4 linked regions of the Drosophila melanogaster genome follow. The protein of the gene in region 1 purifies or fractionates together with the protein of each later gene. This does not show direct contact. Each region holds a gene or a part of one and is shown on either strand. Other genes may lie near its edges.

Region 1 (6,317 bases):
TTGCACAGAATTTGAAAATCTTCAAAGTTGTTTGAGGATAACAAAATCGAACTTCCGCATTCATTGACGCTTTTAAAAACGTTGAGCTTTTTTGATCCGAAATTATTTGGGCAGGTGTTCCAACCACGGCTATTGCTGTTCTCAATTTTCGCTTATCAATTACTGTGTATAATTTCGACTTAAAGTTAGTTCCTTGGATTGTCGCAAACTTTTTTCCACCGTATGTCGCAAATTAGTAAGTATATTCAAGTATTTTCAAGTTTTCTCTACTAATGAAGTTTGGCTTAAAACAATCTTTTCGGGAAGGTATCCCAAATATTTCAATGCCCTAAATATAGTCTATATAAACATAAATTCTTTTTATTTAAATACGACCCATTAATAATTCTGGTTCTGATATTATTATTTTGTTAATATTCGTCTTGCCAGAAATACAAATTTATATATTTTGTATACATTATTTGTTTTTAAGGTCTAATTGCAAAGAAGATTATTAATTATACCATGTTTGATTTTGAATTTTATTCCTTGATAATCCGTTGAATTCCGAATGTTGACAGGATTTCTAAAAAAGCGTTATTAAGCAAATTAAAAATTATTATGTCCAAGTACCTTTGCTTCTTTTTATTTTTACAAACCCTTTTTCATTAAGCATTAGCAATACATAAACATAACAAAACATAAGTAAAATACATAAAATGTATTTAAACGTAATTTAAATGTATTTAATCGCCCGAAGATACTTTCAAATAATTTCCCCTTATTTTTTTAACCCTTATTTGTGCAGGGTGTAAACTTACAGCCGAGTACTTTCAACCCTTTTTCGAGGGTGACTGAATATCTGCTAATGGATTTAATTAGATTATCGTGATTTCATGACTTACTACATCCATCATACAAACTCGATATCCTTTCATCACAAACATTTTGCATTTCTGCTTGAATGCAAATCGAATGTAGCTGTATTATTGTTGAATAAATGGTAACAAATAGAGAAATCAAAATGGTAAAACCGAAGCACTAAGCTCAAAAGGAATGGCTAAAGTTAATATATTGATATCAAATAAACGGTTGCAGAAAAAGATACAGAAAAGGTAATTGAGTCAGATTGAATGCAAACAAAGCAATTATATAGGCACTAAGGTAACCGAAAATATAACATTGTGGAAAAAAATTTTAATTTTTAAATATTTACCTGTGTCATAGTTGTATGTTATCCCTCAAATGATGTTCATCAAAAGCATAAATTACGATAAGTTACGACTTTTAACAATCCTAACACTGCAGAGATCCAATAACCGTCAAGTGTATATATATATGTATATATATGGTGCACGATTATTAAACAAACAAACTTAGTATGCAAAGCAAAGCAACAACAGCTGCAGCCAAAATCACATTCTCAATTAAACCATAAACGAACAAATATATACAAATTCCCGGCTCTGACCAGACTTCAAAGGAAAGCAATAGAGCTGTGAAGCTTGAGCAATTGTGAACTTGAGTTAAAAATATAAAATAAAAAATTGTGTTATCAAAAGACATTCCTAATTTAAATTTTAAGATTTAAAATTGGCGCCTTACTTTTAGCGGGTATCCGAACCCGAATAGCGATAATTGATCGGAGCAAGTTCCACAATTTGACATTTCGATATATTATCGGAACCGGTTCAACCTGCCTTTGAAAACTTAAACAAATCACTTATATTTTTTTGTCCTTAATAATGGGTTTTAAAGTGAGGGTTACTCCATTATCCCTATATCTATTGTTTCTTTTGATATGTTTTCCAATCCGTTACTTAAAGTAGAATCTCTTAAGTTAACCAGTTTTAAGGCGATGCCCATTTCATGGGTTTAACATTGTCGTTTGTTTCATTGTTCACCACGCATCCTAATGGCAGTAGTAAATATATTTGAATCTATAGCCTAGCTTAAGTAACACAGTTTTCTCCTACTATTGTTGAACATTTGAAAGACATTTTGTGCGTCCAAAAACAATTAAAAGTATAAAAAAGCGTTTTTACAAACTTTCAAACATTTTTAATCATAATTTAATGGCGGGAGTCTTCTTTCAATTTGTTGCCAAGTAAACACATTTTTCCTGAGCTACTACACAGAGTGATTTTTAACAATATACATATTCAGATGGAGTTTCTTTACTAGCTGAAGACATTTGTCAGTTGTTCGTACATAGTAAATGCATACAGTGTGGATTTATCCAAAGAATATTTATATTCTATATTTATCGAATATTGTTTATTAGATGTAGCTGTTACAAAGATTAACGTCGGCCTGAAGCTCGGCCCCTTCCGCGACCCCGTGGACCACCTCGTCCGCGGGCGCCTCTGCCCCTGCCGCGATTTCCCACGCGGCCGCTGTCCTTCTTTTTTGTCTTCGACTTCGGGGTGTCGTCGATGAGGAGCGTCTCCAGCGGCAGGCTGTCCGGCAGTATAAAGTATCTGATGTTGTTGCCGCGAATGCTCAGCGTCTCCAGGTGGACGGGATCCCGGTTCTTGATCGTCATCCGAACGCTCTTCAGGTGAGTGTTCATGGCCACATCCACGCCGGTAATGGTGCCGTGGATCTGGGTGCCGTTCTTCAGTTCGATGGTCACGGTCTCGTGACTTAGCTTCATAAGGAATCTGTAATGCATCAACGGGAAGATTAGTAAACGAAATTAAGGAAATCCCTGTTGCAAAGATGCAGCATTTCAGAGATGCAAGGCTATTATAGGTAGAAACAAATATCTTATTGGGTGATTGAAAAATGAGATACAATAAGGTGTATGCAAGCAGCCTTTATGATGAAATATACTTAGTAGAGCCTTTACTTTTAGCAAATTAGTACGAATTTAAAGGTAGCTTGTATTTGGTGGCCTTGGATTAAGAGCGTTGATTGCATTGAATATAGTTATGCAAAATGCTACTTAAAGTGCAAGAATTGTTACCAGATACAAGTAAATAATGGAAAACTATTATAATAACAGATCAAAACAACATTCGTATTAAATTAAATTTTGTGTACAAAAACAACAAATGGGAGCATCGCTTTTGCATGCATACATGTGTGCAGAATCGCAGAACTCAAAAACTGAATGAAACTATACTGCACGCATTGCTAACAAGTTTAGTTTTAGTTTAGGTAAATGACGCATAACATACCTTACTAATTTCATGTTTTTATGTGTTTTTGGTGGTTTTCTGCAAAAAAAAACGCGCACAAACAATGCCGGCTAGTTTACTTGGAATTTGGTGGTTGCGGTGAACTGTTGTATCGTGTGCTAAGATAGCAACGCTCATTGGTATTGTAAAATATATCGGCTACCAAACGGAATCGTAATAAAAGTGAATATGAAGTAATAAATGAATTAATGCATTCCAGAAATAAATTATAAATTTGCAACAATTAAGTAACAATTAATGTCATACTGCTCTATAAATAAATACTTGTGTCTTATTAATTACTCATGTTAATAAATACGATTACGATTATATTATTATAATATACGATTATATTCCAATTCAGTTGTTCCAAATCCCTTGGTAACCGCAGCCAAGGGTACATATTCGACTGACTTATCGATAACGCCGCATATCGCGAAAAAAAAACAATCCAGTGTTAAGAAAATAACGATTAATACTTATTCGCGGTCGCCGTCTATTAACTGGTTTTTAATAAAACACATTTGTCGGTGTTTTGCACTCGCCGCGACATTAGTTCAACGCAGTAGAGCTTTTTAACTCAACGCAGACATCGAATATAATTTTTGACATATGTATTTATCCGGCTCGGAGTGAGAAATTAGCAAGCCATGGCGTTACTCTACCGACGCATGTCGATGCTATTAAATATAATTCTTGCATATATTTTCCTTTGTGCGATATGTGTGCAAGGATCTGTGAAACAAGGTAATGTTTCAAAAACTCAGACGAACATCATAATTGGTACATACATACGTACATCAAGAACCGTTTGTGGGTGTCAACAAATTGCAATGTCTCATTTTTTTTTTGTGTTGTTTTTGCAAATGTGAATGGAGTGTTTTACATTAAGTTGGAAACTGGAATTATCATTTGATATGGTGGTTAACAAGACGGTTGTATAGTTCTTAGATACAGTAGCACTCGAACTATGTCGGTAACGCCCAAAGATTACGGCGATGGGGTGAGATTTCAATTGGGGCTAAACAAAAGTAGTCGCGCATACATATGTACACACTTCCCGGTACATACATACGTTTTATGTTTCTGCGTACATACTTATGTACATCTATCTGATTTATCTGAAATATAATCACATATATATATATTTGTAATATTTCTTCAGCTAAATACGTGTTGATTCCGAAATTACGCCGGATTACTACCGCGAGTTTTATGGCCAATATTGTGGGTGTAGTTTCATTTTTATGTCTGGCTTTTACCGCCCATCCAGAAAAACCTTTCTTGGTGTCCATCATAAAACTTAAAATTTAATAGGAAAGTTAAATAAGAAATTTTCCTTCAATATAGTTCTAATTTGAATATTTTACTAAATCGCATAAAACCCGGAAGCTATAATCAGATTTAAATATACACAACCATTAATCAGGAAGATATATTTTAAGTCTAACATATTTTTAGGCTGACAGAAGCATGTTGCTACTAGATCGGTGTAATTTCTATAATTACGTCTATATACAAAACTGATAATTATTTTAATGAAATTTATTTACAGAGTGGGCAGAAATAGGTAAAAACGTATCTCTAGAGTGCGCATCTGAAAACGAAGCAGTAGCATGGAAGCTGGGCAACCAAACTATTAATAAAAACCATACAAGGTTAGTAACTTATTGCACAAGCATCTAAAAATATTTCTGCCCCCATAAAGATGGAATAACATAATAATCTGATCATTTTTCGATCTTTTCAGATATAAAATAAGAACTGAGCCATTGAAATCCAACGACGATGGCAGTGAAAACAACGATAGTCAAGACTTCATCAAGTATAAGAATGTCCTGGCGCTTCTCGATGTCAATATAAAGGACTCGGGGAACTACACATGCACAGCCCAAACGGGGCAAAACCATTCGACTGAATTCCAAGTTAGGCCATACCTTCCATCCAAAGTCCTGCAAAGTACCCCCGATAGGATTAAGAGAAAAATCAAGCAGGATGTCATGTTGTACTGTTTGATCGAGATGTACCCACAAAATGAGACAACTAATAGAAACCTCAAGTGGCTTAAGGACGGCAGCCAGTTTGAATTCCTGGACACCTTCTCGTCCATTTCGAAGCTAAACGATACGCACTTAAACTTCACCCTGGAATTCACAGAAGTTTACAAGAAAGAGAATGGCACCTACAAGTGCACCGTCTTCGATGACACCGGACTCGAAATTACCTCCAAAGAGATTACCCTTTTCGTAATGGAAGTGCCACAAGTTAGCATTGATTTCGCCAAGGCAGTTGGTGCTAATAAAATATACCTAAATTGGACCGTTAACGACGGCAACGATCCAATTCAGAAGTTCTTCATCACTCTGCAGGAGGCTGGAACACCGACTTTTACTTATCATAAGGACTTTATTAACGGCAGCCATACATCGTATATTCTGGACCATTTCAAGCCGAACACAACCTATTTTTTAAGAATCGTGGGAAAGAACTCGATTGGCAATGGCCAACCCACCCAGTATCCCCAGGGAATCACCACGCTTAGTTATGATCCCATATTTATACCAAAAGTCGAGACCACCGGCAGCACGGCGTCCACGATAACGATTGGCTGGAATCCACCGCCGCCAGATCTCATTGATTATATACAATACTACGAACTGATTGTCTCCGAATCGGGCGAGGTGCCCAAAGTGATCGAAGAGGCCATTTACCAGCAGAATTCTCGAAACTTGCCATACATGTTTGATAAGCTTAAGACCGCCACAGACTACGAATTTAGGGTAAGGGCATGTAGTGATCTAACCAAGACTTGTGGACCATGGTCCGAAAACGTGAACGGCACAACGATGGACGGCGTGGCAACAAAACCCACCAACTTGAGCATACAGTGTCATCATGACAACGTCACGAGAGGCAACTCCATCGCCATTAACTGGGACGTTCCCAAGACGCCAAACGGCAAGGTTGTGTCATATTTAATTCACTTGCTGGGCAATCCCATGAGCACAGTGGATAGAGAGATGTGGGGACCAAAGATTCGAAGAATCGATGAACCCCATCACAAGACCCTCTACGAAAGTGTTAGCCCGAACACAAACTACACGGTGACGGTGTCTGCCATAACGCGGCACAAGAAGAACGGCGAACCGGCCACCG
Region 2 (11,046 bases), on another chromosome or scaffold:
ACGTTTCGAACATTCAATTATACTGATTGCTTAAATGTGCATAATTGAAGCTTTGCCGCTGGGAAACCGGCGACAAAGCTCTCATCTGAGAAGCTCCTAAAGGTTACTAACCTATCCTATGGATATTCCACTCCTTAATTATTTTGATAATATGGCCAGCAGCTCGTCGCGGTTGAAAATCCAATGATCTCTTACATCGAAACGTATTGGTTCGAAAAGCGTACTGAACTAAAACCAAAGAACAGGCAACTTGCCAATTCTTATCAATGGAGCTAACTCAAAAAGTGATATCAGTAAGTAAATAAATCTTAATTGAACATATTTATGAAAAGATAATAGGGCGCCAAGGAATTAGTAAACGTTGGTGCTTTACAGCGTTATCGGACACGATCTGCCAATCCCAAAAAAATCACCTGTTACACCAAATGCAGAAAAAATTAAAAACAACCATGCGAGTTCTTTTTCTCATTTGCTAAATTATTAAGCTTTAGTTTAGCAAACTTGTTTTTTTTTTGTTTTAATTACTTGTTTGTGTTGGTTTCTTGTTTCATATAGTACATTCTATCTCGATCTATATATTTAATAATATATATACCATTACTATTTTTATGTTTTCTTCGTTTAAAATCATCAATTGAAGTTCAAGGATTTGCGCTTTCATCGTTTCGATCCGACATTGACAATATTTATGTCTAGATATATATATATATATATATAAGAATACATATATATATATATATATATATGTATATTAAGAGTTCCAAGAAAAATGATGTGTGAGAATTGTAACTTATGGACAAAAATTCAAAAATTTTATCATTTGCTTAAATATTCTTAATATTTGTGGTTGTTTAGCATATTTTAAATATGTATGTGTTTGCTTGCATATCCTTCAACTACGCGCATCGAATTCATAAAATATAATGATGGGTGAGATGGAAATGGAGGGCGGCTTGGGCTGGCTATACATGAATGTAATATACTTTCGCGATGGACTTGCACAGTTTATTATTAACGCTTGCTCCTGGTTTTTGAGGTTGTGAGAGAGGAGTGAATTGCTAAACGAGGGTGGGGTGGAGGGTGCATCTGTGTATCTTTTCTGTATTTTCGTGATTTGTGTTGCGCTGCGCACAGACAGTTTCTCTTTCACATTTGCTGTTCCTATATAGTATACGTGTGTACACATATATAGTTGTTATCGACTTTGTTTTACTCCGTTTGGTTATTTGCGAAAGTGGCTACGATGCGACTGCTGATGCTGCTGCTGCTGCTGGCCCAGGTCCTTTGCCTGAAGCTGAGGCCTTGCTCATTGAGCCCACCAGTCGGGTGCGTTCGAAGAGTGCGAGGCACTGCCGCCGCCGTAGGAGCCGCCATAGGAGCCACCACCGGCGCCGCCGCCATAGTATCCACCGCCGCCCGAATTGCCGCCTGTAAAGGAAATCCACTGTTAAGTTTCTGCCTTTAAACTGATTACTGCTGATGGATGATTCCACACTCACCAAACTTACCGTACGAGTTTCCATTGCTGCGGTAACTGCCGCCGCCGCCTCCTGATCCGGAACCACCGCTACGTGGTGGCGGTCCACTGCGTCCGCCACCGCCGCCGCCAGAGCTTTGACGGTAATCCCTGGAGCCGAAGCCGCCACCATAACGTCCACCACCGCCTCGTCCAGCCCGCTTGGCTCCGCCATGTCCGCGATCCGAACTCATATCCTCCATGAAACTGGGGATCTCCTGCTTCGTTTCGATCAGCAGCTCCAAGAGATCGGAGCAAATGTTGCGGTTCTTTTCGTTGAAAAAGGAGGTGGCCACACCAAGATTACCCATACGTCCGGTACGCCCGATACGGTGGACATACTCCTCCACATCCGAGGGCAGGTCAAAGTTAATAACGTGCTTAACGTGCGGAATGTCCAGGCCACGAGCGGCCACGGCTGTGGCCACCAGGATGGGGCAGTCGCCCGATCGGAAGCAGCGCAGTGCCTCCTCGCGCTCCTTCTGCGTGCGATCACCGTGGATGCTAGTGACGGGATGATTGCACTGGTACAGGAACTCCTCCAGCGAGTCTGCACCCTTCTTAGTCTCCACAAAGATCAGTGTTAGGCTGTCTTTGGTGTATTCGGGGCCATCGCGGATAGACGAGAGCAGATCCAGCAGATACGAGCGCTTGTCGGGTTCATAGACCCACAGGATTGTCTGCGTAATGTTCTCAGATGTGGAGCCCACACGACCAACGGCCAAGAAAATGTAGTTGCTGAGGAAATCGCTGGCTAACTCCTGGATCTGCTTGGGGAATGTGGCCGAGAACATAAGCGTCTGGCGCTGTCCGGTTGGCGGCATGTTTAGCTGTTCGACGATGCGACGGATCTGCGGCTCGAAACCCATGTCCAACATACGATCAGCCTCATCCAGTACAAGGAATCGAATGTTCTCCAGTCCCACCTTTCCGCGTGTGATCATGTCCTCTAGGCGACCGGGTGTGGCCACAATCAGATGGCAACCGCGGTCCAGCTCGCGCATCTGCTCGCTAGTATTGTTTCCGCCGTACAGCACTGCCGGGCGCATCCGGGAGCGATAGGCGAACTTCTTGGCCTCCTCAAAGATCTGGGTGGCCAGTTCGCGGGTCGGCGCCAGCACCAGACCCAACGGATACTGCTTGCGCCGGCTGTACTGCCGGGTGCTTTGCGGCGGGGGCACATGTCCCAGCTCGTACATCTGGTTGAGAATCGGCACCAGGAAGGCGGCCGTCTTGCCGGATCCAGTCTGGGCGCAGGCCATTAGATCCCGGCCATTGATAATGATCGGAATGGCGTGCTTCTGCACCGGTGTCGGTTTGTCATAACGTGCTAAGGCCACGTTGTTGCGGATAATCTCCGTCAGCTGCACATCATCGAACGATGTGATGTTCGGGGGCACATTCTGGCCCGTCGCCTCCACGGGTATATCCTCGTATTTGTCAAAATTGATTCCCGTATTGCCCACGCCGAACAGCTCCACCTCCAGGCGCTCATCTCGGGCGCCCAGCTTTGTGTAGTCGACGTTTGAGCCGCCGCCCTCCTTCCAGCGGCTGTTGTAACCGCCGCCTCCGCGCTCGCCGCGATTGTTGTAGCTTCTGTTGCCGCCGGCAGACTGTCCGCCCTCGCTGCCATCGAATCCGGCAGGACGTTCTGGCTCCTGCCAACGATCGTTGCGCGGCTGCTGCTGCTGCTGTGCCTGGCCATCCTCGGCAGTCTGCTCGTTGAGGTTGCTACCGCTTCCGCCGCCACCGCCGCGGTACGATGGTCCGCGTCCAAATCCTCGACCTCCTCCGCCGCCTCCGCCGCTGCGATTCCAGTCACCGCCGCGACGCGAATCGAATTCACCACCTGCAAAAGTAATTACATTTTCTCTAATAATATGGGCATATTAGAGGACCAAGTATAAGTCGTACGCATTACGATTTTAAGGATCATTACATTATGGAGCTGTAAAAATTAATTAAATGTCCTTGTGCTTCTTGATAGTGAATAGACCACCTGTTAGCCAATAGTACCCACCGTTGTAGTTGTCCTCGAAACGTCCACCGCCTCCACGTCGTCCTCCGCCGCCGCTTCCGTAACCGTAGTCGCCGCTCTGGCGATTGAAGCCGCGACCACCACCGCCGCCGCCTCTGCGGTATTCGCCTCCGCCTCCGCGCGACTGTTGAGGGTCCCTAGTCTCCTGGCGCGGATTCCCGGATCTGGAGTCGAAGCCCTGACCCTGGCCCTGTCCTTGGCCCTGGCTCTCTGCGTCCGCTGCGTTGTTATTGCCACCACCACCACGAAGGTGCGGGGGCACATACACACCACCGGTGACCGAGTTAGTGGAAGTCTTGCTGGTTATGGGGCCGCTGTAGTCAGCAGAGCCGCCATTCAAGTCCAGACCAGCAACCTGCAAGTGATAAAGATTAAATGGTTAGTCTTCTTCAGAACTTGTGCAAAAAATGTGGCATCAAATGTGGTTTCCTAACACTTAAATTATAGGTTTTGTTCTATTTTTTTTGTACTTAATCATTGGTTTAAGATTACTTTTCTTTGTTATATACCAAGTTTACGGGAACACAGTGCATTTAATGATAAGATCTATACCAGCAATGCAAAACTAAGCTACACAAATAATCTTTGCTCCACTAATACAATTGATTTATAGTACACATGGCCAATTAACATATGTTGCCTGTAAGTTAGCCGGCACCAGTTCAAGAATCAAGTTCAACAGTTTGGCAAAAGATTCGCCGGGGAAATTTTCTCCAGAACTGCCAAAATGAATTCGTTCCCGCTTAGCAACATGTGCTATTTACCGCTCTTCCTCTTAGCAACGCAACGTGTATATATACATAGATACATATGTATGTACGTGCAAATCTCCGGAATACACAGATAGAGAGAGGCGCAACTAGTTTAAAGCTTCGAATTTAGTGCTCTCCCTGTAAGCGTCTCTCTCGCACTCGCAGGCAAGCTATTACACAAAGAGAGTCCGCCTGGTAACCCAACAAAAACAACACGTGAACGAGCCACCCACACATGGGAAAACAAATCGCACCGTAGGGGCAAAACACAAAGCCCGGTTGCGGGACCCAAGTGGACAGAATGGTGATGAAAGCAAGGGAACTCTTTCAAGAACTAGTTTAAATGTATACAATGATTATTATTCCCGTATATCTTGTAATATTCAATATTTTGCCTTCTTCATTTATATTAATTAACAAAGGCAGCTAAATATGTAATTCGCAGATTTTGTGGGGCGTCACTTAACGGCTAGATCGTTGCTAGATTCATTGCGTGCATTTGAGGCATACAGAAATAGTAGTATTTAACTAAACTATTTCCATTTGAAAGCATTAACGTTTGTTTATTTCACATCTCTAATAAAGTTTAATTCTTTTTAAGGACCTAACAAAGGCTTGTTAAAATAGTGTATGTAGATTACATGCTTTGCTTTTCTTCCATTTTTTTTTGCCAAATCACCCTTGAAATTAATCACCAGATCGCTTACTCCTGGCAACCCTATTTACAACAGCTTCCACATGTGTGAGCAAGCGAGAGAGAGCGAGATATAACACACACACACGACCAGCCTTAGAACAGCGGCACTGCTCGCACACACGACACACTCAACGTGAGAGGCCGAATGGAAACTTTCATATGTATATATTATACATGTCAAATTGGAGGCAAGCGAGCAAAAATTATACAAAAGAAATTACAAATTGGAATGACGAAGAGGGACCCAGGCGCACACACACACGCACATATATGCAAGCCATTGACACCGACACAATTCACCGTTGTAAAACGAGCGATAGAGACATTAGTGTGTTATGAAATCAATAAATTTCTAGGCGAACTTTTTCAAATAGCCGCATGAGCATCACGAACACACACACACAGCCACCGCATACACATGCGTGTTCCATTCTTATATAGATGGTAAATGGTATTTTCAGCAGTTAAAAACGCTACTTACTTGCTGCTCTAGACCTGTGCCATTTTGGTTAATAGCATTACTCATATTATCCTCCAATCAGTTGCTTTTTTTTTCTTGCTTTCCGTTTAGGAAAATTTTGCAATGGTTACGCTTTGAATTTTTTTTTTTGAATGCACACTTGCAATTTGCGACAAAAAAATGTATACGATCGTTGTGTTGGTGTTGCACTTTGTGTCTATACGTTTTTCCTTAGTTTTTCCGACAAAAAACTTCTTACGTTCCACAAGCTACTGCGTTCTCGTGTGAAATTTCAGGGTTCTTTTCGTTCCTCGCACACAATTCCCTTTGTTCGGCTTGAAACTGAGACGTTTCCGTATCGGATTTGGCTGGCCTGCTTGTGCCAACAATTACAATTACAAGCGCTATGGGCTTGGAAAATGCTGCTTCTCCGACGAGTTCACGTTTTTTTCCGCTTTCAGACGCGTGTCTAAAAAATCAGGGCTGCTTTAGCACGTATATCGATGAGGAATCGATAGATGCGGTCGGTGGAGGTAGAGCAGAGACTCCAACCTGGGCTCTCGGCGGCGGTTACTGGCAAAGACTCCGGCAAGGGCGTTGCCAGATCTATATCCTCGTCTCGCGGTCTATGAAATTCAAATTGAATTTTTTCACTTTTGCTTTTTCGGCGCGTCGATCCCTTCTAGGCTGTTGTTGTTTTTTGAATGGAAGAGAAATGAGGCTGGGCAGTTAAATTTTGTTTCTTAAAGGCCAAAAATGTTTGTGTTTATGTTTAGGAATAGTTGTTTATAAGGCGTCAGCCGCTGTACCCCATTTCGTTATTTGAAGCAAAAGTCAAAGAAATTCAAATTAAATTTGAAATTTAGTATATATATGTGATTGCCGTAAAATAGGTATTAAAAATTTCCAAACAATTCCATACTCAAGTTCCCTCCAAGTCTGTTAAAGAAAACTAAAATTCGAAGTTTCGAACTCTGGAATATATTCATTCACTTTCGTCTTCAGAATATACATATTGTGAATGTACATGTTTATATAGAATAAATGCTTTTGGTATTGGCCTTAGCTTGAGATTAGTTAGTGGAACAATAAATATGGCTATAAAGTATCGTATATATGTATATAATAATAATTTTCATATCGTTCAGCCCTTGAGCAGGCAGCGGGAGTAGAACTCCCGGTCGATAGCGTCGTTTGGAATGTATGAGCTCCACTTGAAGATCAGCGCCAGCGTGTCCCCGGCGGACATGTGATCCAGAGCGATGTTGAGGAAACAGTTCCAGTTGTAGAAGAAGTGGCGTCCCAACTGTTCCTGTTCCACGCCAGATATGCACTCGCAGTTGGCGCACACCAGTCGTCCGCCGCGTTGCAGTTCCACGAACTGTTCGAAGCAGCGGCCCCATGCGCTCACGCTCAGTTGTTTGCCCACGTCAGCCAGAAGTTCGGGGAGTCCGTAGTTGAGGACGATGGCCACCACTTTGGTGAGATTCTGTTCGGCTAGGTAAAATTTAGCTAAGACGTCTAATAGTGCCGGCACTGATTGAACAACATCAAAGCACTTCAGTTGCTCGCCACGGGACCAGAAGTATCGCAGGAGCACTGCTCCAAGCTCATGATACTGGCAGGAGGTATCGAAGCGAAGGGGGAACGAGCAATGCTCACACTTGACAATCTCCGCATTTTGCGAAGTATTTAGCAGCACAAATCCGGCAGCTATGTGATCCCGCGTAGCGTCGTCCACTTCCCAGATCATCTCCGGATCCAGGTAATCGAAATACATCTCGTAGCAATTGCGTTGCGCTTGGTCAGGCGTATCCCCATGCTCTACCATCACCTGGGCTAGTTTCTCGAGCAGATTCACCAGCTCGCCAGCTGCATACTCGTCGAAGACAGCGCGATAACGATCGACGCACTGCGTCCGGCTAAACTTGGCGCTCTTGGCGATCAGGTAGAGGTTGTAAAGAGTCTTCTCCTCGGGACTGATGTGGGGAACCTGGGGAGCCGGTTTCTTACAGCGCCTAACAATTTCCTCCTCCTGATCCTCGCTTCCCGACTCGTAGCGTGCTTTGATGTCCTTGAACGGCAGAGAACGCTCGCTGGCTGGAATTAGTTCCCTGACCAACTGCTGCTGTTCCTCGGCAAAAATATTGAACTTGTATTTTATGATGTTCTTGCCGAATTTACCAGTTACCGTCAGCAGCGCATCCTTGAAGTGTCCCGTTTTGAGAGGCTGCTTCAAGTTGTCGCAGAATGCGTTTTCCAGCACGTACACTCCCTTCGGCGGAGCTCTCGATGAACTTCCGCCGCTCAAACTGCGTTCAGTGGTGGCTGAACTGCCTCCCGAGCTGTGCGTATCCAAAGCACTGCCTGTGCACTGAGTTATGGCATCAAATATCACGGATATATCGTTCAACAGCTCGTACTCCTGCCGCTCGATGAGTAGTTGTTTCAGCGGATTGAGCTGTTTAAGTTCGTAATCCTCGCGAGCCTTGTCCGCAAAATATCGGACATGCTGGCGTAGTAGATTTGCGCAAGGCAGCAATTTGGATTGTTGTATAAGAGAAACTGCGTGGGATTGCAGCGTCTGCAGCTGGACACTATAAAGTGCGCCAGACTGCGTAAACACAAAGATCTCCGATCCCGAGGAGCGGCAGTCGGCGATTCTCTCGAACTGATTGGACCACAGCACCACCGCCGATCGTCGAATATCAAATATATATAGTCCCAGCTCTGTAAAGGCCAGCAGAAAGTCATCGTTCAACCTTTGTACCTTTGCGAACTGCAGATTCTGCGGCTGATAGTCCAGCAGCTCGGCATTGGCGTCCAGTTCGTCTGTTCCGCTACCAGGTCGCTGAATCCTTGCCGGTGCGGTGGCTAGGGCCGTCTTGAACTGGTGCGTCTGTATCACCTCGCCCTCAAAGTCCACCTCCCACACGCGACTGCCTGGTCGGGCGCAGTAGATACGAGATGGCTGCAAAGACTCCTGCGGCGAGACGAAAAAGCAGGCGCCAAAGGCTCCATCCCGCGGACGGTTACCAATCTGAAAAATATGACATGAGGTAAAAGTTTATCGATTGTATGTGATCAGATTGGCTTAGCCACCAGCGCACAAACGCACTTGTTTGTAATCCTCGTACTCAGTGTTGCACAGAATGCACTTGGTGCAATTGGACACCAGCAGCAGGTACTCAAAATCATCAATTTGGACGATCGGAGAGTCCAGGTAGAGCAGCGGATGCACTGTCATGTTGAACAGCAGACTGTGTCCGATGAACGAGGAGAGCAGCACGAGGCTGACTTGTCCGCGAGAGTCGCCATAGTAGAACTGCTTCTCGTCCTGCGTCCAGTGGATGCATGTAACCTGCACCGACTGGTCCAGGTGCGTAAAGATCACCTGCGGCGTGGCCTGCGCGGACAAATTCACGGCATAAACACAGATGAGCGAACGTTGCGTTGCAAAAGCCACATATTTGCTATTTGCCGATATGCTGAGGCTGGTGATCGCTCCATGCTTGTTTGGTATCAAGAGCAGAAACTTGCCGTTCCGATTGAACAGATACAGCGATCCGGATGAGGCACCGAAAATGATATAGCTGTCGGAGATGTCGAAGCAGGTGTACTGAAGGGAGGAAGGGCGTGCATTAGTGAATGGTCTGCTATCAAATTGCGGGTGAGACTCAATTGGATTGACTTGCTCTCACCTTGATGCGATTGTGGTGTTTCAGCGGCAGCGACAGCGACAGCGAAAAATCAATAAAGTTCGTCAGGCAGTAGGCGTCGGCCATCTTGTGGGCTTTTTCGTTGTCCGAAGCGTTCGTTAATCACATAGCTCGCTTTGAAATCGCGATTACGTTATTGCATTGCACATCGCATGCATTTATTTACAAAAATTATGTTTTTATCAGCGCGACGAGTAATTCGTGTACATAGGTCGTTGGAACTGTCTGGCAGCTCTGTTAGTGCTGGCAGGTGGTCGATAACAAGTGGAGTGTGATTAGAGCGATTACTTTTTATTTCAAATACTTTGTAATAAACTTGTTAGTGTCTTAATTAAAACAATTCAAATCTTCAATTTGAAATGTATATTAAAATCAAAAGTTTCATGAAATCACAGACGTTAAAGTATCGATACATTTAGTGCTGTAAAATGACAGCTGGCTTGTTTACCCTTATAAGCTTCAAGTCTGGCAATACTGCGACCAGCAGCTGTCGTAAAACTTATCCTTCAAACTTTCAATTAAAATACGTTTTTCTGAAAAAATCGCTTATCAAACTCCCATACATAAAAATAAAACTATTATTACACAATGTTTACTAAAAAAAATTGGATATTTACCACCCAGCCGAACAGCTGTTCGCTGCTACCTCCCCCAACCCATAAACCTACTGTCAAGTAAACGTCAAAACAGTCGCGCGACTCGCCAAGCGAAAAAACCTGCAGAAAAATTGAAATGCGGCGTGAAAGATACTAGAAAAATAACAAATAAACACCGGGTATCCGCAATTAAAACGCTTATGTACATAGAAGCCAAAGTGTAGCAATGGGCGACAAGGAGGAGCCCGTAACACCCGCTCCCTCGCCCACGGAGGAGGGTATGGCCAATATTGGGTCTGCTGGAGCCGGGGATCAGCCGCAAACTTCAGGGAATAATACCAACGTTAAGATCGTGATCATTGGAGCTGGAATGGCTGGCCTATCGGCTGCAAATCACCTTTTGCAAAACGGCTGTGACGATTTCCTTATTCTGGAGGCACGGGGCCGGGTGGGCGGACGCATTGTGTCCATACCGCTCAGCAATAATCAGAAGGTACCATTTGTTATATAACCCCCTCAAGTCCAAAAACCAAAACAAACCATCATAGGCGACCATATGGTATTAAAGGAAAAACACTTCCGACTCGGAAAAACCACGAGCATGTTGTAACACATTCTTCGCCCCAGCCAGTTGATTATAGATTTTTCCACGGACTGCGCAGTCGGTCAGCTGTTCACGCTTTTCATTAAAGCTATTTTTATACATGTTCCTGTTCCCTCTATTTGCCTATTGTTAGCTTTATTTGTTACATATGCTTACATGGGGGTAATTAATGTAATTGCATCTGTCGTGAATCTTACTCACGATTTTCATTCCGTTCATTAGCATAGTTTTGATCGGTTTGGCGGCACCTTATCAAGAAATTTGTTATACAACTTTCTTCGGCAACGTTTGTCAGATTAGATAGGGGTTTTCTGAATTAAGCCAATGATGACGTATCTAGTGCAATGCCCTGAAAAACTCACGGGTTTGCGGGCTAACGATCACGTAGTCTTAGTTATGGGACTGAAAAATTTATTATTTTTCCAGTTTTCCACATTGTTTCACTTCACATGTACTAATTACGCCCCTAAATTATCTAATATAGGTCAGTTCTTATCTTTTTTATACTAGAAAGTTAAATGTTAAGCTTTGCCTACTTATCTGAGATGTTCCTATTTAAACACTTCTATTTCACAGATAGAACTTGGCGCCAACTGGATACACGGCGTTCTGGGCAATCCCATCTTTGAGCTGGCCGTACAACATGGTCTAGTCAGCGTGGTCA
Region 3 (7,889 bases), on another chromosome or scaffold:
ATTGTTGAATATAAAGTTGAAGTTGATGTAATGAAATTGATAATATAATATAATATTTCAATGGCTTAGGCATTGATAACCACGAAAAGCGGAGGTGCCCCTTGACTAAAAAGAGTTGCTATAGAATGGTTTTTGTAACCACTATTGTTTGATACGCACCTGTCATTGAAGTTCTTGTCGTTTCGTATCAATTTTGTGCTATGTAAATGAAATGGAAATGGCCTTAGTGACTTAACTGTGTGAACACAATATAATAATTTATTTCCGATACTTTTATCTTGATCTATCGATGGATGCGTATTTCTTAAAGCATACACATATACAATTATATAGAGCTTAAATAGCCGGATCAATTCGTATTTAAGGTTGTATGATGGTTAAAACGGGAAATCGCAGTAATTTTTATTATTTAAATAGTAAATTTAAACTTCAGTAAAAATATCCTAAATAATGTGAAGTGTCAAGAGCCAGGTGGACATAGCCATATCCGTACGCCCGTTTCTCACTAAATCTTTCTAAAAGCCTTTCTGTTGCCGATACTATGCATACTACATGTATGGCAGAAAGACCTCGACAAAGGGGAACATACATACATATCTTCTTTTTTGTTAGAAAGTGTTTTATCTCGGTATTGAACAGTTTTCGACCATATGCCTTGGAAAAGTCAAATTTTTTCTGTTCGTGATCATAAATAGATATTATTCAGTATAAGCATATAAAAATCGGCTTGCCGATTTTTGTTTATTTCCTATATTATACCCATTACTTGTAAAGTAAAATCGTATATGTATTAGATTCGCTGCAATGTATGTAATTGGTAGAAGAAACCGTCTCCGATCATAGAAAGTATATGTATGTAATAGGAACGCATCGATCCCATTTTATACTCACATGTTTCCAAATGTTTACACGCTTGTTCTAACGACCACGAACCGCCCAAAAACTGCCAAAAACAATTTTAACCAAATACCTACAAATCGTTCAAAACTGTAACGCCCATATCAATTTAAACACACATAAACCCTATGTAGTATATACATACATATGTATGTGTCTAGATTAGAAAGAAACACCCATCCGAGTTGATACTTCCGTCTGCCCCTATGAATGTTGTAATGTCGGGAAGCACTCCTCTGGCTACCAAAAATTAGTAATGTAAATAAAGGAGAGGTGGGCTAATTTGATTCTAAGGTTATATATTTCTTTTTTATTGCATTTGTTTTCGGTTTGGACATCATATAGTGTCCAAATCCCGAAGTTCATTAACTAGTCTCGGAAACCTTTTTGTTCACCTGTTATGTTCTTTTTTAATTTTTAATAACCCCCTTACTTTACGAGTGAAGAGTATAAAAGAATTATAAATACTTTTTCAAGAATTCAGGTTAATATAATTATTCGATTTTATGATAGAATCTAACGTTCCGCTAACCATTTAATACAGCAAACCATATTTATTTTCAGATCAAAAATGACAACACACGATGAGGCTCAGTCATACTTCTCACGTCTTAATTCAATTTCCGAAAAAATTACCTGCGATCTCAATAAAGTTAAATCTACATACAACCAAGACGCTTGGCTTAAATTGACTTTAAACGAACAGGAAAAAATATTGAATAACCAATTAATAGATCCTGTTATATTTTCTAAGTACTGTCATAAGACTAAAGAAAACTATGCGGCACAGGATCCGTACGAAAATACTGAAGTTAGTAAAAATGATTACCGTAAATTTTGTTTCAGAGACATTGTATATTTATATAACGGCCAAGATTTACACACATATAATTATCAAAACGTTGGTTTAAAAATATTACGCGATGAAAACACCGGAGATTTTCAAGATGAACATTCGTTTCCATTTTCTTATCGAACCAAATCACAAATTAACATAGTATTAAAAGAATTTGATGATATCTGTCTTGTTGAAACTCCATTAGGCGTAAAAAAGGCCATTCATTTAAAATTGAAGACAAAAGATTCAACCAATAAAAAAATACCAATTCTCCACCTTAATTCTAATGATAAAACCGGCGTTAACACAACGGAAAGAAAGATTTCCATTCATGAAAACTTCTCAAAAACCCAAACTGTTTATATTGATGAATGTATTGAATCTAATGAGAAAATGCAACTGCTCGTTAAATGTGGATCGAAAAACAGTGTGTTAAACGACTTGTCTGATTATGAAAACGAATTTAAAGATGCACGTCAAGACGAAAATACAAAACTGTTATCCCCTGAACTAAAAATGCCTAAGGGTTTCGATTTTCTTAGCAATTGGTAAAACCTATTTAAATCTCATAGATAGTCGAAGGAGAGCCGATATTTTAGAACATAATTTCATTTGATTTCAAGGCAAAACACCAAAACATACACATTAATATTAATCGGTCGTAAGTCCAAACTTTATACATTACATTATTAAGGATTCTTTTTTAACATAGACTTAATAAAATAAGTTATGAATTTAATGGATTGCCCAAACCTGTTTCAATTCTCACTTCAATAAGGCATTCAAGCTTTAAAATTTATTAATGCATATGTTATCTCACTGTATTGTTTTAATCCCTTAAATTTCATTTGAATTGTTAGAAATGGTCGAGAGTTATATGAGTTGGAACTTGTTTGAAACAGCTCTGTTTTGAATTAATTTAAATTATATCAGCTAATTTATTTTAATCAATTAATCCTTCTGTTGTGTACCCTCTATCTGACCTCTTCGATGTGAACGGGTCACAGCACTTATTTTAGGCAGTTGTGTAAACTGGGTATTACCTAAGATTGATTAATATCGATTAGTTTAAGAAAATATCGGACATCTACCTAGAAGAGTCTGTCGTGATCCAGGCGAAGTGCGAGTGAGAGCATCGTATAGTTACTTTTTATTTAAATTGCGTGTGTTAAAATGAATTAGCACGAGTAGTGAATGTTTTTGTGTGCGTAATCTTTCGAAAACAAGCGCTTTGTCATTAAAACGAAAAGATTGCCAACAGCCCACCACGGATAGAATGTACGGAGTAATGCAGCTAAATTGAAGTAGAATAATTTTAATGTATGGTTGAAGACGTACTCAGTACGATTAAAAGCGAAACTTTCTGACATAACCTAAGTGTGCATAACCTAAATGGTCGCAAAAACCCAAGCGTTTAGTTTCGGACATACGCATGTGTGTATCAGTGCAGAATAAATTCTGTTCGCTTGTGTATCGTGCATTGGAAAAGTCTATATGTACATATGTTCCAGTCAAGAGTTGCCACGCTTTAAATCTTTTACATAATGACAAAGCAATAGGGAATTTAAATGTGTCGCATTTGCTTTGAGGTTTTCCACACCAACAGTTAAAATTTAGTAATAGTGTAATTAAAAATAAAGTAAGCATTTTGCATATTTGCATTAGTCTATACTCCACATACCTTTCCATTCCGTCTTTAAATTTTGACTAGGTGGCAATATTGCAAGCAGGAATATCTGTATGGGTTTATTTAATACACTAGTAACTGCCGTCCCCATCGTCGAACGTGCGCAGAAATTTATATTCAATTACATCGAATTATAATTATTGTTGAGTCTAATCAGTTTTCGCATTCAAGATTGTTATTAATCCCAGTTTATTTTGTGAAATATGAAAAACTATAATTGATTGTCGAATGTGTGTATGTTTTACAACACATACACACTTTGTGAACTCGTCAAAGTGGCTTGACATGCATACACACAAAAATGCACATATATTTACATATATAGAGAAAATCAACTTCTCGTTCAGTAAAGGCAAAAATTGTTGCAAATATTCGGTGAACTATTAGCGTATACACAAGTGTTCAATTTTACTATAAACGCATATTCTGGCAATAGATATTAATTTCTAATTTCTGTTTGGTAGGTTTTAGTTAGATCTCCATTTTGTGACGTTCTCAGCTTTTCGCTTGTATTTCTACACATAGGGTACAAGACACGCGAATATACTAAGTATTGTACAATGACTTCTCTACATATGCACTAGAGTACTGAAAATGTATTCATACAAATGTATATACATGTATATATCTATCGCATTAGTCTTTTTGCCAATACTTGCATATATACAGGTTGTGTAAATACATTTTAAATTCTAAGTTTATTTGAGCATAATTGCAAGTGCGAAATTAGGAAAGGGAGACATAAAATAGGGTGCTTCCGTCAATGTCTGCCTGCCCAGAGTTGACAAATTCATTTTACTTGTGTACATATGCATATGTATATTTATATACCATTACAGAGTTGTGAATTTAATTGTTTTATTTTTTGACATGCATTCGTTTTTCACACAGGAATTTGTCGTTAATGTGGGTGGGGATTCTGCCGGTTGGGCAGCAGACCTGGTAGGTCAGCGATCGCGATGCATATTTCATTTTTAAAATTCTTTATGTACATACTAAGTATACATGTTTAACTCCTGTCAAATGACTCCCACTCTTATATACCCATATGTATGTCCTCAGACTTTTTGAATCGATTATAAAGCTTAAATTTTTATGATTTCTCCTTCAGAATTTTAACTGATGTTATGCAGTTAAAAATCTGTAAAGAAGATATTGATTAAGCCTACGAAAAGCTGATCAGAATTAAAAAATTTTTTAAGAACAACGAACAATAGAAAAACTAAAAACAAACGTGCACAACGTAGGGGTCACTAGAATCTGCATGCTTATTCTCAACTGTCTAGCTTTTATGTCGAAAACGCTTCCGCTATGTAACATACTTTAGAACAAATCTGGTATACCATATACCATTTTACTCTATTAATAATGTGTATAAAGCATAAACGTATCACGGTGATTAAGTTTATTTATCCTGTGTATATACAAGAAAATAAAAAAAGAACTTAGCAATTTGATTTAGAATGAATATTTTGTAATAAAAATAATAAATGTTTTCTATATTTCTACAGAACACGGAAAGAACAAGGATTCAGATTAAGTCATTCCTTTTCGATTAAATTAAATAACTTTTAAAAATTGCCATAAATGCTTATGATAATGAAGTTAAAGATCAAGTGGATGTTGGAATAGTAAGGAATGCTACTTTTGAAGCTGACAATCAGTTAGAACACTTGAGCACTATGCGTGAAGCCCTTTTTTCCCAAGATGGCTGGGGCTGTCAGCATGTTAACCAGGATACTAATTGGGAAGTTCCCAGTTCGCCAGAACCAGCCAATAAGGATGCACCCGGTCCACCAATGTGGAAGCCAAGCATTAACAATGGTACTGATCTTTGGGAGTCCAATTTGAGAAACGGAGGTCAGCCGGCCGCACAGCAAGTTCCAAAGCCGTCGTGGGGTCATACACCATCCTCTAACTTAGGTGGAACATGGGGTGAGGACGACGATGGCGCCGATAGTAGTAGTGTGTGGACTGGAGGAGCTGTTAGCAACGCGGGATCCGGAGCTGCAGTGGGAGTAAACCAAGCCGGAGTTAATGTCGGTCCAGGCGGTGTTGTTTCGTCTGGCGGACCTCAGTGGGGACAAGGTGTCGTTGGCGTCGGACTTGGATCAACTGGTAGGCCTAATATCTATTAGAATTAATGAAGTTAAGCGCAAACGATCAGATAAAGGCTCTAGCTTTTCCCTCAAAATGTGACTAACAATACATGATAAAAACATAAAGTGTAGTAATTGAAGTTGGAGCCTTATCTGGGGAATTACCTATTCTAAGTTCTACAGAAACTTTTATTTCATTAACCCGAAATACTTTTATATTTCTGCTGTTATTTAAGGAGGTAACGGGTCAAGCAATATAACTGGATCGTCTGGAGTCGCAACAGGTAGTAGCGGAAACTCCAGCAACGCTGGTAACGGTTGGGGAGACCCTCGTGAAATACGCCCTTTGGGAGTTGGTGGCTCCATGGATATTCGAAATGTTGAACATCGCGGCGGTAACGGTTCTGGAGCAACTTCGAGCGATCCACGAGACATTCGCATGATCGATCCGCGTGACCCTATTCGAGGAGATCCCCGTGGAATATCTGGTCGTCTTAATGGGACCTCTGAAATGTGGGGTCATCATCCACAAATGTCCCATAACCAGTTGCAAGGTATCAACAAAATGGTTGGTCAAAGTGTAGCAACTGCCAGCACCAGTGTCGGAACATCTGGCTCGGGCATCGGTCCTGGAGGTCCCGGTCCTAGTACAGTATCAGGCAATATCCCAACACAGTGGGGGCCTGCTCAACCGGTAAGCGTTGGTGTAAGTGGTCCCAAAGACATGTCAAAACAGATAAGTGGATGGGAGGAACCATCACCACCGCCTCAGCGTCGCAGTATTCCTAACTACGATGATGGTACATCGTTGTGGGGTCAGCAAACTCGTGTTCCCGCTGCAAGCGGTCACTGGAAAGACATGACTGATTCGATAGGTCGTAGTAGTCATCTCATGCGTGGCCAAAGCCAAACGGGAGGTATAGGAATAGCCGGCGTTGGAAATAGCAATGTTCCAGTGGGAGCCAATCCAAGTAATCCTATAAGCAGTGTAGTTGGACCTCAAGCCCGGATTCCATCTGTGGGCGGCGTACAACACAAACCAGACGGCGGCGCTATGTGGGTGCATTCCGGCAATGTAGGTGGCAGAAATAATGTTGCTGCTGTTACTACTTGGGGAGATGACACTCATAGCGTTAATGTCGGCGCTCCCAGCAGTGGCAGTGTATCCAGCAACAATTGGGTTGATGACAAGTCCAACTCAACCTTGGCACAAAACTCTTGGAGCGACCCGGCCCCTGTTGGAGTTAGTTGGGGCAATAAGCAAAGCAAACCGCCAAGCAATAGTGCTTCATCAGGTTGGAGCACTGCTGCGGGCGTGGTGGATGGGGTTGATCTAGGATCTGAGTGGAACACGCACGGGGGGATTATTGGAAAATCTCAGCAACAACAAAAACTAGCGGGACTTAACGTGGGAATGGTGAACGTAATTAACGCGGAGATCATTAAGCAAAGCAAGCAATACAGGATCCTTGTCGAGAACGGCTTTAAAAAGGAAGATGTAGAGCGGGCATTAGTGATTGCTAATATGAACATCGAAGAGGCAGCCGATATGCTCCGTGCCAACTCATCCCTATCAATGGATGGTTGGCGTCGACATGATGAGTCCCTTGGATCTTATGCCGACCACAATAGTTCAACAAGCAGCGGTGGATTTGCTGGTCGTTACCCGGTCAACAGTGGACAACCTTCAATGTCCTTTCCTCATGTAAGTATCGTGGAACTAAGCATAATGAAGGTTTTTCGCCTAATGATAACAATATCTTAAAATAAATATATGTAATCACTAAATTATGTATTAAAAGCGCGACCTCGTACTCATGGGCACACAAATTCTTAATTAGCGACGGTCCCTTCCAACAGGTGGCACATTTGGCAGTAATTTTAATAGAAAGTTCTATGTACTCAACTATAATATGAAAGTTTGTTTAAAATATTTTGTGAATCAATCTACTGAATGCTTTTTTGTTTGTTTGTTTGTTGCGACATTTGCGCGAATTGGTATGTTGGTTTTATCGTAGGTTACCGTAGTTTGGTATTCGTCTCGTTTGACTCTTGGACATTTTAAGACAATATAATATAACCGTGAAGATTTAGAAAGTGCGGGTCCTAGCAACGCTTACGAGCGTGGTTCATGCTGTAAGCATAGCATTTGTAATTCATTTACATTTGTTAATTTATATTTATATTTATACCTTTTACTCGCTTAGTCAAAGGGTATAGTATATTATTAGAAAAGTAAGTTGCGGGGTAGTGAGTGGATTCAACTCTGTGGAGTGTGTATTTATTATCACTGTCCAAATCCTTATATCTGTTTCCGTCCGCTCCACTAAAGCTCTCTTTGAAATTGAATTTGCTTTTTTTCTTAAAT
Region 4 (7,292 bases), on another chromosome or scaffold:
TTTATCTTATCTTAGCTGCTAATTTTAGTGTATTTAGTTTATTCTGTTATGTACTGGCATTTTTGTTTTTGTGCATGCTGAAATTGCGAAACATTTATTGTTGCGCAAAATAATTAATAATAAACCACAAATTTTCGAAATTATGCTACAAGCTTGCGAAATTGTTTTGTATTTGTTTGGCCTTGTTTTTGTTGCTTTTATTTGTTTATTTTAGTGAAATACTTAAGATAGATCCTTGCAGAGAATGTTTTTATCAAATATTGGGTTTTTTGTATACCGCTAAGTTCAAAAAATTATAAATGATAAACAATAATGTTTCGATTGACTTTGCTCTGCAAGGATGTGGAAATCTTCGGACTCCGGAGCTCTGCCATGATTTTTGTAGTAAGACTGTTTTGGGAACCACACTGAGCCCGTAACCCCGTACACCATTTCTCTCTCTCTCTCTCTTCTCTCGTCCTTTTTCGCCCCAATCTTTCTTCGCTTCCTGCTCCATGCTCCTTCAGAATGGAGCTGAAGCATCTGCGAAAGGCGGAACAGCAGCAGCAGCAGCAGGTACAGCAGGAGCAACCGTTGCTGCCGGTGGAGAAGCAACTGCTTCGCCAATATGCCACCATTAACGAGAGCAAGATACCCGTGGTGTCCGGTGGCGGTGGTGGTGCCGGCAGCTCGGCCACCATTCCGCCCACACGGGGCAGTGCTGCGCGTACCTCCCATCACCACATGACGCTACGGGGGAGATCTCGGATCCGATACCAGCGTCCCAATGCCGGAGAAACGGCTCCGGCTGCTGCCCAAACGCAACCGTGCACGGTGGCCACGGCTCGGTATTACCGGGACGTATCGGCTATACCCACAATCGGTGTTTTTGGTGGTGGTCCTGGTGGGTCGTCGTCCACTTCAGCCTCCTTTAACATAGCCACACGCTCCGCATCCGCCACGCTCGATCTCAACTCCAATCCGCTGCCGAAAACAACAAAATTAACCAGCCTCAACAATAATCCAACTACCACTCCTCCTCCCTCCTCCAATCCTGCAGACACAAGCCGGCTTAGTGGGCGCGGCAGTGCCGAATTGCAGGCGATCATCGAGCACGGCCTGGTGGCTGGTTCCGCCAAGCGAAACAAGCGATCGCTGAGCTCCACACGCCTGGACAAGGACAAGAGCGACGAGTACAACACAAAGCTGTTGAGGAAGACGGCGGCGGCAGCTGCTGCAGCGGCCACAGCAGCATCAGCTGTAGCCAACAGCACATCGATCAACGCCACCCACGCCACAAACGCCTCCACCACCAGCAGCATGAACAACAATTGCAAGTACAACAGCTGCAGCAGCAGCAACAGCGGCAGCTTCAAGCTTTCCCGGCGCCTTTTCGGTGAGTCCGGCTCCTCAGCATCGACGTCCGCCTCAAATTCGGGTATTCCCACACCCACGGCGCCGCCCTCCTCCAGCCAGTGGCAACAGCACCTGGTACGCGGTGTGAGTCGTGCGTCCAGCGAAAAGGATCGGGATCGGGAGCGACAGCAACAACAACAACAACAGTCTCTGGACCATCAACAATCCAATCTCAAGCTGCGCAAGAAGATTAGCTATTGAACACTAATCATATATTGTTTCCTTTAGTTGTGTAAATATTATTTTGACTAGTAAATTGAACGTTTCCCGATGAGATGATGAGATTGATGTGGCGAATGCAATGATTTTTTAGATATTCCAATGCAATCAAATTTGGTGATTGATTAGGAAATTATTTGCAATAACAATCTCATTTATACACTTACATTTTTTTTTAGGAAAACATTTCAAATTGTTATGGATTTGTTATTTAACATATTGTACTAATATAAGATAACCCATTAAAAGGCAAGCAATTGACATTGAAATTGTTAATACATTGTTGAAAGTTTTTAAGAGGAACGCTTAGTTTTCATTTTAGCATTGTGTTGTAAAAATAAAATCAAAAATGCTGAAGACTACGAAGCACTTTATTTATTTTAGACTGAAACCCCTTTTATTCGTATAAAAGTTGTACTTGTAAAAAAAAAAAGAAATGCAGCATTTTTACCATTTTTTTCCGTCAAATTATTTAAAATATTTGTTTCAAGTAAGTCTTTGATTACTAGCATTCCTTTTAAAGGCAAATGTTCAGATTTTTAATTTCACTGTGCAATACATATTTATGTAAATTGCTTCAAATATTTTATAATCAGTTGTTGCAAACAATAAGTTCGGACCGTATAAATACTTTACATTTTAATAGAATTAACATTGGTATTGGCATCGAAAAGTAATTAATAATATCATTATGTTATACCTTCTCGAAAGTAAAAGTTGTTGTACCCACTCCCCTTACTTATTTCCTTGGATTTTTTACACCTATCTCAATCGTGTACAAAGTTAACATAGATGTTTACTAAAAGACCTTGAAAATAATTTTTTTATGTTTCCCACCTACAAATTGGTGGAGATTGTATTAATCGTAAGATTAAATGAAATATGTGCATTCTAGAGTGTAAATAAAACGAGTTTACTTAGTTTTAAGCTAGAATAGTTGAATAAATGTTATACGCATTAAATCAACATGGTGCGAAAATAGTCTATTATATGGTCGTAGATATCGGTCTCCTTTGCCATAAGGACCACGTCGAATGCACAATTAAGCTCGACGCTAAGCAAGGGAACCAACGATGAAGATTCCACTTCACTGATTTTGGGTGTTATCTTTAAAGAGCTCATTACGTCCATAGCCTTATCCTTGGAGCTCTCGTATTCATCTGAATTGATGGCCTCAATGGCCTCCTTTTTCAGGGTAGGATAGAAGTTCTTGAAGTAGTTGTGTCGGTCGCAGAGCCGCATGCCTGTATGGTCTACGCTCCCGGCTTCCTTCAACTCCCAGTAGGTGGTAAATTTCTTTCTGCGCAATGCCTCCAATTCCTCCATAGATTCTTCCATATCAACAACTTTCAATTTGCTTGTGCTCGCTACTTGCATTTGATCCGGACGCAAATTGTCCGAATTGCTGGAGATTAAGGCCAGCATTTCAATGGCCGCTCGCTGACGGGCATCCTTCTTTTTGTCCGACTTTCCGTAGCGTACTATGGAGGCCACGGAGCAACAGGCCACGAATTCCGGGGCGCTCGGGGTGCCGCTTTGCTGCACTACCTCAATGCAGGGCAGTGGCATCTCGCGGCGGACGCAGTAGTCACGCAGCTCCTTCACCATGTCCCGGTTGAGGTTAGTCAGTTCCTCATCCAGATCACCCACAGTCGAATCCTTCATCAAGCCGTGTATGCCGGGCAGCAGTTGGATTTTACGCAAGATATTGCTGGCAGCCAGGTGTTTGGCATCACGCTTCGAACGCCCTAGAATTGGATAAATATGTGGCGGTTTAGATACGAATATAAATAGTGGTTGAGATTTGTAATTTAAATTTACCATTTCCAAGGGCCTCTATCTCCAATAGTTCAACTTTACAGACGTACCCTCCGTCTTCGCCGGGAATAAAACTGTATGTTGGTAGATTAATCTGTGTCCGGGCACAAAACTCCTGTAGAGCAGATACGGCTGACTTGTTATCCATGAGTTCAAGGGGAAAAGGCACGTCGGACGTGCTAACATTCAACAGAATATAACCATATATATAATTTATAAAATATCTAAAGCACTGCAATGTTATTAGAGATGGCACGCGAATCACGAAGCGGCAACGATAGAATAGGAAATCTTGACGAAGACATCTGTAAATGAATTATTTTATGCCGCTTTGTCAAAAAAATATTTTCACGAAATAGTATTGAATTCGTAATTCGAATACGAAAACAGCGGCAAACCTTCTTAACTTTTTTACTAAGGAGCAAATGCATTTTATATGCTATTCGGTGTTTTCATTCAAAGTTCAACGTCTGAAGTGTTATACATAATCGACACGTCACGATGACGCGAGTTGGCATCCCCGTAAGTCAAGGCAACCCTGTTGCGTAGTATATGGCATTAACAAGTGTTGCTGTCAGTGATGAGCAAAATCCACAACTGCAAATAACTAGATACCGTATATTTTTCAAAGGAATAAATTCTAAAAACACTAAAACCAAGTGTTTGAGCAACGACTTTAATATTTTCCAACTGTGTACTTAAATTGCCACATCCCACACACTTTGGAAAATCAATTCTCAGCTGTTTGTGCAACCTGCGACTTAAAAATACCTGCTACTCGCGGCAGCCCTGTGACCGACGCTCATCACTTGCCACAGGTCAGAACCAAATGAAGAGTAGTTTTTGATCAACTGCGGAACGTTTACTGCGTTTCATAATCAATAACTCTGTGCTGCGAGCAAAACACCACAGAACGAACAGCTGTTGAAAACCAAACAATAGCATAATACCAAATTAAATGTCAAATTCAGAATAAACTATTTCTCGAAAATACGCAGAGAGCAGAGCGGAGTAGGAAGTGAGAAACAGTGGCTGCGTAAAAAGTGTCCCCGCTAGCGCAGCAAAAACCCATCACCGATCTTCGTATCGCGGTCATTAATTAGCAATAGAAAGTTCTCCGATTCGCGGGGTCAGCCAGATGGAGGAGAACGCCGCCCCACCCGCAGCCGCAACAGCCGCGGGCTGCGATGCCGCCACCCGTCAAAAGAATCCGGAAACCAGTGTCCGGCTGCTCATCAAGTCGTCCAACCAGCAGTATGAGGATCTCAATGTGGACTCCGATCTCTGCTGGACGGTCCAGAGGCTGAAGAAGCACCTATCTCTTATCTATCCTGGCAAACCGGTGGGTTATCGAGTTGGTTCCCCCCCTTGTTATCGTATAGGTAGAAAACTGGCCAGGAGCCCCATTATCTTATCGAGAAGTTTGTTATTGTTTATCATCTTCGTTTAGGATTCATAGGTGTGTCGGTTCCCAAAGCTATTTGCGTCTTAGTCGCAAGTACACGTCAGTGGATTGCTCCTCTAAATTATAGTCGCCGTCATGCACTTGCGTCATGCACTTGGTCTATGCCAAATCGATGGGTCGGAACTGGGAACTGGGATTAATTTGGTTACGGTTAGAAAGTGATAAGATTTTTGGACATATTCACGCTCCACTCATGTGCCAAGTTTTTTATGTACATATGTACATCCCACATATCAATATCACTGATATATACTAAAGATTCAGATCATTGCAGGCAGAAAAAATACATTAGCACTCTTTATTTCCAGAGCAAATCAAGTAGAATTTATAAAAATTTATTTAGTTTCAAGTATCATTTCCATAAAGTCAACTGACAAGTACAAGTTGTTATCTCTTGGAGTGTGCAAATAAATAGATTTAGGCACTGTTTGATAGTATAAATTTCGCGCGGAGGTAAAAGCAACAATGAGTTATCTCTAGGTTCCCTCTGAATACCTATAATGTGAAATTTTATGTTTTATGTTTTGACCACTATAACTATTTCTTTCCATTTTTTCTGTAGTTAATCCAGGACCAGAAACTTATTTACTCGGGCAAGCTATTAGATGACTCCCAAAAGATATCTGAGGTGATACGCAGCTACAAGGATGTCTACCAACAGCACCACATATTTCACTTGGTGTGTGCCAGCAAGCAAGTGATAAGGCCGGCTGCCAAAGCCCCCACTGTTCCGCAGAAGGATGCGGTTCCAGCTGGGCCCGAGGTCACTGGGAATGCAAATGAGCTGCGACAACGTCATGCTCCACATCAGCAGCAGGCACAGCAGGGCAACGCTGGACCACACGTGACGGGTGACATCGGTTTGGCCAATCCCTGGACACACTTCTGGCAGCAGAGCCAGGGAGCAGCACCTGCTGCCAATGCCAGTGCCAGTCCCCATGCTTTGTTCCAGCAGCAGGCGCTCATCTACAACGCCTGGATGCAGCAGGCTTACGCGCAGTACATGCAGCAGTTGACTCTACGGTAAGTGAACAGAACCAGAAGGCTAAAGGAACACACTTGATCCAACAATTAATTCACTGATATCAGAAGCGAGCGAATCAAATTACACAGAGCTCGATAGCGAATACATTTTATTTTTCTCAGAAGGAGAAACACTTGTATTTAGTCACTCTTAAGAGGTACTTTATTATTCAAGTGAGATCAAAATGCTGTTTTAGCATTTTTAAAGTTGTTTCTTGATTATTTATAATCTTTTTATTATTTTGGTTATCAGGCGTGCTAAAATTGTAGTATACTTGTATGGCCACGATTACAGTTAAATAATATAATTTTGGGGTCGCTCCCGAAGAATTTATTGTGCGCAATTAAGTTTTGCATGTAAACGAACAATTATTTTCTATAATATTGAATGCTATGATTCTTACACAACAATCTTATATTATACCCACAGTTCTACGTTGCCCGGTTCGAACCAATCTGGCTTGCCGCCACCGACTCAACCCCTGTTGCCCTCAGTCCCACTGATTGCTGGGCGAAACTTCGGGGAGGTACAACAAGTGGCAGGAGCAGCTGCTGCCCCAGCGGCACAGGTACCTGCTGATCCTCAGATTAATGGAGCGCCGCAGAACAGAAATTTTCCCAACATTCAGGAGGAACCGGAAATGCACGACTGGCTGGATAGTTTCTTTAGCTTTACGCGATTGGCCATTTTTGTGACTGTCCTGTACTTTAACTCCTCAGCGCTGCGTTGTTTACTGGTGGTGCTCATCGCGGGTGCGATTTATCTGTAAGTACATTTCCTCTTTGATTCGAATTGAAAAGTTTACACATATATTGAAATTATAATTGTTTGTTAGATATCACATTGGTGTCCTTCGACGTCGCCGCGAGCGGAACAATAACAACATAAATCGTAACAATAATGCTGGCGATGCGGCCGCCTTTGCTGCAGTGCAGCAAATTCAGCGCATGATGGATGCGGCCGTGCAGCGGGAGAACAACGATCCCCAGGCGGCCAATGAGCCTGGTGCAGTGCCAGCGGCTGGACCTGCTGCTGCTGGTGAACAAGATGCAATCGATGCACCTCCGGCTGGGGCTCCCGTTGCTCCAGCATCCGCTGCTAATCCAGAACCGACTGACGTTTCCGCGGAAGCTGTGGAACCACCAAATGCCAATAATTCTGTGATTTCCGTTGTGCGCACCTTTGTCATCACGTTCTTCACCTCGCTGCTGCCCGAGGCGCCGGCGCTCTAGAGGATCGAACTGTACGTTATACAGAGGGACGTGTTTGACCATCCACAAACCAGCTTTACAGCTTTACGGCTTTCCTCTTTTAAAACTCCCATAATCAAACTGTTATTCCGTTTTCCTTTTGAGTTTTGTGCATACCTGA

What was found.
Region 2: the proteins of SmD1 (region 1) and bel purify together in Drosophila melanogaster (affinity purification with western blotting, with the first as the bait; one study listed by BioGRID). This does not show direct contact.
Region 3: the proteins of SmD1 (region 1) and gw purify together in Drosophila melanogaster (affinity purification with western blotting, with the first as the bait; one study listed by BioGRID). This does not show direct contact.
Region 4: the proteins of SmD1 (region 1) and r2d2 purify together in Drosophila melanogaster (affinity purification with western blotting, with the first as the bait; one study listed by BioGRID). This does not show direct contact.

The regions. Positions count from the first base shown.
Region 1 is NT_037436.4:12,731,342-12,737,658, forward strand, and holds SmD1 (small ribonucleoprotein particle protein SmD1), read right to left. Parts: upstream 3,271-6,317; 5' UTR 3,176-3,270; coding exon 3,162-3,175; intron 2,643-3,161; coding exon 2,282-2,642; 3' UTR 2,023-2,281; downstream 1-2,022. Other genes in the region: Ptp69D (protein tyrosine phosphatase 69D), read left to right, coding at 3,812-3,908, 4,717-4,819, 4,912-6,317. UniProt on the Drosophila melanogaster protein: Plays a role in pre-mRNA splicing as a core component of the spliceosomal U1, U2, U4 and U5 small nuclear ribonucleoproteins (snRNPs), the building blocks of the spliceosome.
Region 2 is NT_033777.3:8,654,479-8,665,524, forward strand, and holds bel (belle), read right to left. Parts: upstream 6,284-11,046; 5' UTR 5,530-6,283; coding exon 5,485-5,529; intron 3,910-5,484; coding exon 3,537-3,909; intron 3,366-3,536; coding exon 1,500-3,365; intron 1,429-1,499; coding exon 1,307-1,428; 3' UTR 497-1,306; downstream 1-496. Other genes in the region: p (pink), read right to left, coding at 6,608-8,503, 8,582-9,082, 9,165-9,248; CG8032 (uncharacterized protein), read left to right, coding at 10,005-10,271, 10,959-11,046. UniProt on the Drosophila melanogaster protein: ATP-dependent RNA helicase that is essential and required for cellular function, larval growth, and for male and female fertility.
Region 3 is NC_004353.4:655,553-663,441, reverse strand, and holds the start of gw (gawky), read left to right. Parts: upstream 1-2,833; 5' UTR 2,834-3,013; intron 3,014-3,458; exon of another isoform or gene 3,459-3,882; intron 3,883-4,933; 5' UTR 4,934-5,104; coding exon 5,105-5,540; intron 5,541-5,757; coding exon 5,758-7,226; intron 7,227-7,889. Other genes in the region: CG46466 (uncharacterized protein), read left to right, coding at 1,469-2,287. UniProt on the Drosophila melanogaster protein: Required for gene silencing mediated by micro-RNAs (miRNAs). Silences both polyadenylated and deadenylated mRNAs. Required for miRNA-mediated translational repression and mRNA decay. Not required for miRNA target recognition.
Region 4 is NT_033779.5:7,796,791-7,804,082, reverse strand, and holds r2d2 (r2d2), read right to left. Parts: upstream 3,937-7,292; 5' UTR 3,831-3,936; exon of another isoform or gene 3,738-3,830; 5' UTR 3,581-3,737; coding exon 3,436-3,580; intron 3,363-3,435; coding exon 2,572-3,362; 3' UTR 1,985-2,571; downstream 1-1,984. Other genes in the region: Cdc14 (cell division cycle 14), read left to right, coding at 507-1,596; Herp (Homocysteine-induced endoplasmic reticulum protein), read left to right, coding at 4,571-4,774, 5,460-5,920, 6,351-6,686, 6,757-7,153.